2 linked regions of the Rattus norvegicus genome follow. The protein of the gene in region 1 purifies or fractionates together with the protein of each later gene. This does not show direct contact. Links are inferred from orthologs where the notes say so. Each region holds a gene or a part of one and is shown on either strand. Other genes may lie near its edges.

Region 1 (5,202 bases):
TAATTTGATAGTAAGTGTTTTAGTTGCTAGTAATTAGATTCTGCAAACCACCTAAGAAACTATATCTAAGATTGTCATTTTTTTTTTTTTTTTGGAGCTGGGGACTGAACCCAGGACCTTGCAAAGATTGTCATTTTAAATACAAATCTATTAAGTAGCATGGAACAGCCATTTTAGCATGAGGACGTTTGTGGCGCTCCTTTGATTCATTCTGCATGAACCTAACAATAGCACTTGGAGGTTTTAATGAGGAAAAGAAGATTGTCAATAAGGACAATAACCAAAAGCCTTCAGAGTGTAAGGGGGTTTGGTCTTGCCAATACTGCTGAGGTTGCTTTTTTTAAAGTACCTTTTCTTGAAGCCCTAGAGTGGGAAGCCAGAGGGAATGTGCCAAGTGTACAACACCCTGGATTTTCCCTTGCTCTGTCAATCAGAACATCACTATTTCCATCTGCTTTGCATATGAGAGTCCCATGAGATCATTTTCTTATCTTTGTCTTTTGGGAGAGTGAAGGAGGTAGGCTCTTTCTACAAATTAGGTGTATGTGCATGTGTATACATATTTATATTTAAACTTATTCATCTTTATTGTGTCAGTGATTGAATGGTAGGAAGTACCCAGATTACAGGAACTAGTGGAAAGAGGTGTCTATTTTTTTAGCCACAGAGATCCCTTTCAGATTTTCCTTCCTATAATGTTATTTCTTAACACAAACAAAGAAATAAAGAAGAGAAGTAGAGAGGATTTCTTACTTGAGATAAAAGTTTCATTCTGGGTCCATGTCAGACTTAATTGAGTAAATCATATCTTACTATTACAATTAAAAACTGAGGGTCCAGTTCATGAATAGTAAATCATAAATTTTGAAGCATGCCACAAATAGAAAAGGTTTATATATCTACCCATCACCAAAACTAAAACCAATCAGTCCATCACCAATTAAAGGTAATTTCAGAACAAAGGTACCCGTATATGAAAATTATCTGAATGTTTAGTAAAGTGCTGCTAAAAGGCAGACTATATTATCTGAATCAAATGAAATTGCTAATATTCAACTATTTCCCTCCATCAAAATATGTTTCACATGGTTCAAGTTAATATATCATAGAATGAAGAAAAGACAAAGCAAGAACATCTACCATATGAAATCACAAAAGAAAGGATGCTACACCAGGAAATGGAAGCATATTTTATCTCAAATAAATCCAAGTTTGCTGACACTATAATTGATGACCAATGATGAAAACCATCCCCATGGCACAAAGTAATTTAATCACAGCCTGCACAGAAAATATCCCCTACAATAGGAAAAATATATGTTGTTTCTCCAGAGAAGCAAGCCAGATGACATATGGCTAAATTACCTGGTAAGGAGCCATCCACATTAAAGTTGGAGTCAGTAGCAACAGTCCCTTCAGTTTCTCCAAAGACCTCAGTCTTAGCAGGGGTCACTGGGAAGAGAGTCCCGTTTTCCATTGTGTCTGGATATTGAGGGGTGTAGCCTTCCAGTGAAGTAGTTGTATCTCTGGGAAGACTTCCACCTCTTCTTGCACCACTCTTAGCTGCATGGAGGTGGAGTCAATGATAAGCCCACACCTGGAAGGTCACCACCCACTGGGCACTTGTCATCAGAAGGTAAAGTTGCCGAGACATCTTTCTACTTGTTCTCCAAGGCCAAAAGCAAATGGTACCAAGCAAAAGCAATGTTTTGCAAGGCACCAGCCAGATAGCACTCAACAGGAGAGATTTTGGTGACTACATACTACACAGAAGAGGCACTTCTTACAAGGTTTGTCTGAGTCATCAAGGGTGTGTGGTTATCCTATTGTGACCTTGAATTCACCTCAGCTATTAGAGGATTTTGACCTTTTTGTCTCAATTGGATTGACCTCTGAGGAAGGGGTATAAAAACAAACCATTGGATGGAAAGATGAGACCATTCTTCCTGCAACTGGAATAGTAAGCTCAAATCCAAAAGACCTGGGTCTACTGCCTTAAATTTCTTTTCTGTGCTAAGAGGACATTCTTCGTAGTCACCAATACCACAGAGCTGTGGTCCAGAAACAAACCAGAAAAAATAATTAGTTCAAAGGCTATCAAAGAAATCTTACAGAAACAATCATTATTAAACCAAGTTACTAATCTAATACCTTTAAAATTCAGCAGAAAAGTTTGTACCTAATGTATGATGGCTTCTAAAATGTCTATAAAGCAGAAGAATCAGAGACCACCACCAGACATAACTTTTGATCAAAAATAATGTATAAAAGCAGGCAAGAGGTGTATCACCATCAAAGATAAAACAAAAGTATCACCACCAAAGGGTCTACAAAGTACCACTACCAAAGATACCACTAAGTACCACCACCAAAGATCTAAAGATACTGCACAAGGACCACCACCAAAGATACCACAAAGTACCCATAACATCTTGATTTCTGCTTAAAAGCCAGTTGTACTTTATGATCCTTACTGCTAGATGGCAGAACAGAAGTTGTTGGATGGTCTTCGCCTTCTTCCAGCTCTCCAGGTAATGTAGAGAAGTTCTGAGAATGACTCTGTGCTGTTTCAATGAGGGATGAAGCCATTGTTAATTGGAAACCATAACACATGGTTTTACATGGACGGTCTAGCTACAGAATATCAAATGGACACATACAATGGGAGAATGATATGTGTGCCTTTCATCATCTGCTGATTGATGCAAAGATACAGAAAGATTATATTTTGTCCCTAGTTAGCTTCTTTGCCCTTCGGTGAAGTTCCAATCTGAAGCTCAAGCCCAAATATGGCCCTCCCTAGACTACCTTGACCCAGCTGCAGCAAGGATCCCAGAAACAAAGATCACAGAGACGTGGAAATGGGGGCTGTGATTTCAGTTTTCCCTCAACCATAAAGATTGCCTAGAAGTTAGATTATAAGGAAAATGTTGCTATGTAGTGTCTGTGGACACAAAAGAAAAAGCTCATCTCTATCAATGAACTTAGAGTAACTTTATGAGGAAATACATGATTCCCTTGTAGAGAGCATTGCATTTGAGTTACTACTTTTTTAGTAGGGCTGTGGTCTCCCCTGTAGCAGGGATTCTCTTCACTGCCTTGAGTAAATGCTTCCCTGGGCAAACACAGGGCCTTCAGTGAAATGGATTAAATTGAGATTGAATCACTGCCCATATCTGAAATCACTTTGACTATTTTGAGTTATTTTCTTTTGTGTTCTTCCAAGAAAGACACTGACCTCTGAAGTGCAGGTGCAAAAGTCGCATAAAACACACCCATCAGCCATGTCCACCACCAAACAAATATAACCAGGAGAGAGACATTCACTGAATCCCAAAGCCAACATCAGAAAAAAGCCAACAGTAACACAAAATGGAAATACAAGTCATGAATTGGCAAGGGCCATTTATAGACTTCTTTATGCCTCCTTTGATGCCTAACACAGTGCTATTTACATTGATGACAATCAACACATGCCTGCTGGCAGTTTTCCTACACCTAAAGGGCTCCTATAAAGGGCTCTGGCCATTATGTGTAGCAAGCAGTGAAATGAGGTCTTCTTAATTTGGGATTTCTTTGATATTCTGCCAAGAATTTATGAATGGCTTCAGGTTGGTCTTTATAGATTCGTATAAATATGTTGAAAATTAAGGGTACTAAAATGTTCCTATTTCTTCCTAGCAGGCGTTTAGTGATAGAAAAAGATGTTAGCAAATGGTTCTTTTTGACTCCAGCAACTCCTCCACCTTGGTCAATTATCAACAACATGCCTCACCCCTCCTCTGAAGGTTAAACTCGATTTCCCTATTCACTATAATGATCTGGCCCTCATATGTCTTTACACAACCACGAAAGCAGCATCTCTTCTACCTGGCCTGGAAGAAGGGTGGGAATCAAAAAGAATCAGTTAAAGCATTGAGACGCCACTCTACCAGTGATGGTCTTCAGTGTCACATGACTAGTTAGAGATGGAAAATGGAGATGAATGACATTTCCATGTGGTCATTGACTCCAGAGTGGATCTTAGATGAAAATTCATTCGGGTTATAAGATACTGTGCAAGAAAGGCCAACAATGAAACAGACTCAGACTCTGGCTGAGTTAAGCCACCTAGCAAAGACTGCCACCATTCCACCACCAAATGCAACATCTTGACCAATATGAGCAAGATGTGAAGTAGATAGACAGGTCAACAAAAGGGCTATGTGTCATTATCCTTACGAGTTGTCACTGAAAGTGGTCCTGTCCTGTTCAAGTCTTCCACCAAATGGGTATTTGGAGCCGCAGTAGGCTGAAGGGTTGTACTATGACTGGAGTCTGTATCTGAAGGAATCAAATTGATGTTATTGCCATATTCCCTATGCTGGGAAACGACCTGAGTCATTTAGCCAAGTAATGTTTGCATTTAGCCTGGTGAGAGGAAAGAACAGGTTCACATGTCCAGAATTGGGATAAATGATTGTTTCTTCAAGAATATCACAGGATATAAGTGGTTTTCATTTCAGGGCAGAGTTAGCTGAAAGCTATCACATTTATTTGTTGGTTTCTTTTGCTTAGTCTGAAAGGAAGTTAAATGAACACACAGCGGGGCTCATGGTCTTCACAAAGGGACAGAAATATAACCCATGTTTCTAAGATAGACAAGTATAGTCAGACATGGAACTGAATAACACGCACAAGCATCATTTTGTCATCTCCTGCTCACCAGGCCAAACGAAACAAAACAACAACAATAAAAAGTTTTCAAATAGACAGTGCCTTCCCTTTTGTCTCTTTTGTTTTTATTTCACAAAATAAACACAGAAAATACATATACACATTACCCAATATATCTAGGTGGAGACAACAGGAAGTGCCCATGGACAAATAAGAATCATTCTCCTCGTAAATAAAAGCAAGAAGCATCTTGAGAATTCTGATTATAGTGTTGAGTAGTGTGAAAACCTCCCTGAAGTAATTAAAAAGGCTGCTTTTTGTGATGGTTATCACAGATCTATTGGGCTATAACAAGTTCAGAGTGAAATAGGGACCAAGCAGTTCCTATTGAAGTAATTGAAGAGCATCAATACTGCTAACTCTACACTTTACTCAATCCACCCACACCACTTCCTCTGAAAGCACTGGGATATGGGCACCCACCTTGGGTCTTTGCATGCTGATAGCAAAAACAGACAAGATCTATGCTAGAGAAAAGCGTCTGGC
Region 2 (5,202 bases), on another chromosome or scaffold:
GAGGAGGCAATGAGGCTAAGCAGTAGGGCTCAGCCCCACGAGCCTGAGGACCTGCGTTCCATACCCCGGAACCACAGCATCCACAGCGGCAGGCAGATCTTCAAGTTTGAGGCCAGCCTGGTCTACTGAGTGAGTTCCAGGGCTACACAGAGAAACCCTGTCAGGAGGAGGAGGAAGTGGAGTAGGAGGAGGAAGTGGAGGAGGAGGAAGTGGAGTAGGAGGAGGAAGAAGTGGAGTAGGAGGAGGAAGTGGAGGAGGAGGAGGAAGTGGAGGAGGAAGAAGTGGAGTAGGAGGAGGAAGTGGAGGAGGAAGAAGTGGAGTAGGAGGAGGAAGTGGAGGAGGAAGAAGTGGAGTAGGAGGAGGAAGTGGAGTAGGAGGAGGAAGTGGAGTAGGAGGAGGAAGTGGAGGAGGAAGAAGTGGAGTAGGAGGAGGAAGTGGAGGAGGAAGAAGTGGAGTAGGAGGAGGAAGTGGAGGAGGAAGAAGTGGAGTAGGAGGAGGAAGTGGAGTAGGAGGAGGAAGTGCAGGAGGAAGAAGTAGAGGAAGAGGAAGAGGGAGAGGAGGAGGAAGAGGAAGAGGAAGAAGAAAGCAGCAGCAGCAGCTCATGTGTGATGCTGAGCTTGTGATCCCAGCACTAGAGATGTAAAATCAATTCCTCATGTTCCCTGGTCATGGCTGTAGCCTGTTTTAGTGAGCTCCAGGCCTGAGAGGGACCCTATTTTGAAAAACAAGGTGGATGGCTCCTGAGGGAGTCACACCTAGACTGTCCTTTGAACACAGACAGACACACAGACAGAGACACAGAAAAAGAGAGAATAACAGTCAGATAGACAGACAGACACATAGACACAGATACAGAGAGAATAACAGACAGATAAGAAAGACACACAGACAGACACACAGATACAGAGACAGAAAGAGAGAGAAAATAACAGATAGACACAGATACACAGAGAAAATAACAGTCAAATAGACACACAGACACAGGCACAGATACAGAAAGAGAGAGAACAACAGATAGACAGAGACAGACAGACTGACAGACTAAGGTGGGTTTCAAACTCAAGCCTGGGCTCTGTCGCTTGTCTTTGCTGCCTCCCGTTCTGCAGCTATTGTAAGATTGAGTCAGCTTGAGGTCTGGAGAGATGGCTCGGCAGATAAGAGTATTGGCATCTCTTTCAGAGGATCCGGGTTCAATTCCCAGCACCCACATGGTAGCTCACAACTGTCTCTAACTCCAGTCCCAGGGCTTCTGACACCCTCGCACAGACAAACATACAGATAAAACACCAATGAGCATAAATTTAAAAAAAAAAAGTGAGCTGGAGAGATGACTCAGTGTTTAAAACTGCTCTTCTAGAGGTCCTGAGTTCAAATCCCAGCAATCACATGGTGGCTCACAACCATCTGTAATGGGATCTGATGCCATCTTCTGATGTGTCTGGAGACAGTTGCAGTGTACTCATATATAATAAATGTATAAATCTTTAAAAAAAAGATGGTACAAATCCAGATATTTAAAACAAAACAAAGCAAAACAAAAAACAAAAAAGAGGCACCCCAACAAAAGCCGTCATGAGCAATTCCCCAAAATGAGGGGTACATGGCAGTTTCCATGAGCTACCTTCCCCAGTCTAAGCTGTCACCCTGTGTCCAACATACAGAAAGCCTGGAGGAACACACGCAATGTAAACAATGTCCCCTCTGGATGGTTTGATCACCACAGTATGTCCATGACTATGGATTAAATGATATTTATACAAGTGACCTCCAACCCCATGTCCCTGACCCCCTCGGGTCTCCCACCTGCCTGATGTGGATTCTTGGCCTCAAACTCTGGTCCTCCCTGGCACCACCTCAGGCCGCTTCGTACCCTTACCCATCAAAGCTCTCCGGCAAAAATGCCAGGCTCCCAAAGATCTTCTTGCAGCCATCAAACTCCTGGACATTGTCACTGGTGATGGCCCTCGCCCCTCGAAGGTGCTCCATGCCCAGACCATAGCACACTGAAGGAAAGGGTGGTGAAAGGGGCCACCTCAGCACCACATGGCACACAAGACACCTGTCTGCTGTCCCCTCCTGAAGTGACAAGCCTCTTCCCTATGCTGACAAAGAGAAACCCAGGAGGCTGATCTGGAGAGGGACAAGTGATGATAGCAGGAGACGGGAGTCTAGGCGAGAGCTGGGTGGACCAGGCTGGTCTTGGAATGGGGCTGGGTACCTCGAGCACAGGGCTTGCTGCATTTCTCACAACGCTGTGTTCCGTCCTCAGCTGTGACCTCTTGGTTATTCGGGGGACACACCAGAGTGCAGGATCCCACTTCCGTAGACAGGTAGTTGTCTGTACAGATTTGGGGATACACGTCCATTTGTGGCCTAGCCTCTGTCCAGCCAATCACGATCGAGGCTGCGACGCCCAGTTCTAAGAACACTACCCACCAATACTGGAAGGCCCTCCCTGTGCATGTGAACTCGACAACCATTTGCTCCTTACTATGCATTATGCCAACAGCTGTTATTTGCACTTTGCAAAAAGGGAAATCAGGACGCAGAGCTATACAAGCCACTCCTATCGTTGTGCTACTAAGTAACAGAACTGGGATTTTTTTTTTTCTTTAAGGAGTCCTCACCATGCAGCTGAAGATGATTTTGGAACCCTAAGCCTACTACCTCTACCTTCCAAGTGTCAGGGTGACAGGTTTGTGTCACCCAGGAACATGGACTTGGACCAAACAATCTGACCACCTCTCCACTTTGTCCTCTCACCTTGACCAAAGAGAAGCGTAGCCAGACCCTAAAGGCCCCACCCCACCTCCCATAATAGGAAGGAAAAGAAGGTCCCCAGGTCCAAGTCCAGTCCCTAAGGTCCACAGTGCTTAGGGTCACTGCCACACGAAGCCTACTCTATGCAGACGGAGGAACAAGACACATTTAAAAGAGTATTTAGTCCAGCCTAGGCATTGCTCTCGAAGATTCACCAATATTAACTCATTCAGACGTGGGGTTGGGGATTTGGCTCAGTGGCAGAGCGCTTGCCTAGGAAGCGCAAGGCCCTGGGTTCGGTCCCCAGCTCCGAAAAAAAGAACCAAACTCATTCAGACGTTACACAATTATTAGGACTGGACAAATAGTGCCCCTATTTTACAGATAAAGAAACTGAGGAAGTGGAAAGCAGTAAGACAGTAGGGGACAGGTTTCAAATCTAGCACTCCAGGTCCCAACTTTCGCTGCCTCCTGTTATGTAGCTGTTAAACAGATGAGGTAAAAACCTAGGAGTGGCAGCATACATCTGTAATCTCAGCCCTTGGCAGGAGCAAGGCGGGAGGATCAGAAGTTCAGTGTCATCCTCGGCTATGCAGTAAGTTCAAGGCAAGCCAGGCTAAGCTACACGGGATCCCGACTTAAAAGGGATTGGGGGAGACGGGCAAGGCAGAGACAGGAGGCTCTCTATGGATTTGAGGCCAGCCTGCTATACTCAGTAAGTTTTAGGACAGCCAGGACTACACAGTGAGACTCTGTCTAAGACAAAACAAAACTAAAATCAACAAACAACAAATTCGAGAGCTAAAGAGATGGTGAAAGGGGCCGCCTCTTTAGGCCCAGGGTCAGTTCTCAGCACCCCACATGGTGGCTCACAGCCACCTGTAACTCCAGGTCCAAGAGATCGGATTCCCTCTCTTCCGACCTCCATGGGCAACGCAGGCACAAGGCGTAGACATACACACAGGCAAAACACACACTCGACATAAAATAAATATAAATGAAATACTTTTTTTAAAAACAAAAGAGTAAGGCTCTCGCTTCGGCAGCACACGTACTACAACGGGAACAACACGGAGAAGATTAGCATGGCCCCTGCGCAAGGGCGACACACAAATTCGAGAAGTGTTCCATATTTGGAAAGAGAAAAAGGGTAAGACACCCAGCCTTGAGAGTCATGACCAGCCCTCCAAGGGGCACAGGTTACTCACAACAGGCTCCCTCTTATACAAGCCACCGTCCCTAGCCACGGCATTGAAAGGATGTTTTTCTTCCCAGTACTCACAGGGGCAGGTGGTCACGCAGCTGGCACCAAAGGTGTAGCGACCCTCAGGGTTGTGCATGGACTCAAAGGTGTCTGTGTTGTAGGTGACGAGGGCTGGGCAGTGCAGCTCACAGATACCACTATGATTGAAGTGGAGGCAGGCCTGGCAGAGACAGGCCGCTGGTGGTCACTGGGATGTTTCCACCTGTGCGCCAGTGGCATCCGGGCAGGGCCGGGAAAGATGCCCACCCCTTGCGTTCTGGAGGGTTGGCCCAGGGCACGCACACGTACCAGGCAGTCAGAATGCTTGGGGCCCGTGCAGCCTGCGGCACACTGCTCATGGCAGCAGTCAGTGGGCAGCCGGCCCTTGCACCGGGCACAACCACTGGTACAGATGGTGCCAGTCACTGTTGGTGGAAGGACTGGGTGAGAGCTGGGTAGGGCCTGGACGGCACCAGACCCTTAGCATCACGGCCTTCTGGGAGACATCTCCCAAGTAAGTCAGTCCGCTACTCCCAGCCATCCACCTGCCCCAGCCCCAGCCCCAGACACCAGGGCTCCCTCCGACTCACAGATCTGACAGTCTTCCGGACTCTCACCCCAACAGTGATTGTCTTTGCAGGCGGGGGCACAAGGTGGACCTGTGGACAGAAGCAAAAGGGAGACAGTCAGGGAGGAAGGCAGGGAAACGGGGTGGAGGCAGGGAGGGAGCTGAAGGGAGAAAGGCAGCGAAGGAGGGAAGCAGGGAGAGAAAAGGAGGCTGAGAGGGAGGCAGAGAGGAGTGAATGGTGGGAGGAACATGTGAGCAGGGCCCAAGGGCAGCACCGTAAGGGGCCTCAGGAGGTGAAGGTCCTGCCTATTGGTAGGGAGATGACCCTGTGACCAGAGCAAGGACAGGAAAGGGGGGTGGGTGGCTGAGACGGGCCATATGATAAGAGTCTGGGTCACGTGGACACGGCTTACAGGCCCGGGAACGATTGGTGTCTATATCGACAGGAGCCAGTTGGTTATTCTTGCGGAAGACGTCCTTCCACAAAACCATGTCCTGGTAGCAGAGCTGAGGGTTCCCACGGATCAAAACTCCTCCCTTCAGGATCTCTGTGGGGAAGGCAAATAGTCAGTCCCCTCCTGACCACCCTTGGGGCCTCCTGACTTCCCTGTGGGGAAGTTGGGAGCTCCCC

Evidence for each region. The genes of interacting proteins can lie anywhere in the genome.
Region 2: the proteins of Cd44 (region 1) and Erbb2 purify together in Homo sapiens (affinity purification with western blotting; 3 studies listed by BioGRID and IntAct, with this or other methods). This does not show direct contact. The link is inferred for Rattus norvegicus from reciprocal best matches to the Homo sapiens genes CD44 and ERBB2.

What each region holds. Positions count from the first base shown.
Region 1 is NC_086021.1:109,629,348-109,634,549, forward strand, and holds part of Cd44 (CD44 antigen precursor), read right to left. Parts: intron 4,324-5,202; coding exon 4,222-4,323; intron 2,565-4,221; coding exon 2,475-2,564; intron 1,564-2,474; coding exon 1,366-1,563; intron 1-1,365. UniProt on the Homo sapiens protein: Cell-surface receptor that plays a role in cell-cell interactions, cell adhesion and migration, helping them to sense and respond to changes in the tissue microenvironment.
Region 2 is NC_086028.1:83,916,592-83,921,793, reverse strand, and holds part of Erbb2 (receptor tyrosine-protein kinase erbB-2 precursor), read right to left. Parts: intron 5,120-5,202; coding exon 4,985-5,119; intron 4,663-4,984; coding exon 4,594-4,662; intron 4,429-4,593; coding exon 4,313-4,428; intron 4,185-4,312; coding exon 4,043-4,184; intron 3,898-4,042; exon of another isoform or gene 3,791-3,897; intron 2,339-3,790; coding exon 2,219-2,338; intron 2,004-2,218; coding exon 1,877-2,003; intron 1-1,876. UniProt on the Homo sapiens protein: Protein tyrosine kinase that is part of several cell surface receptor complexes, but that apparently needs a coreceptor for ligand binding. Essential component of a neuregulin-receptor complex, although neuregulins do not interact with it alone.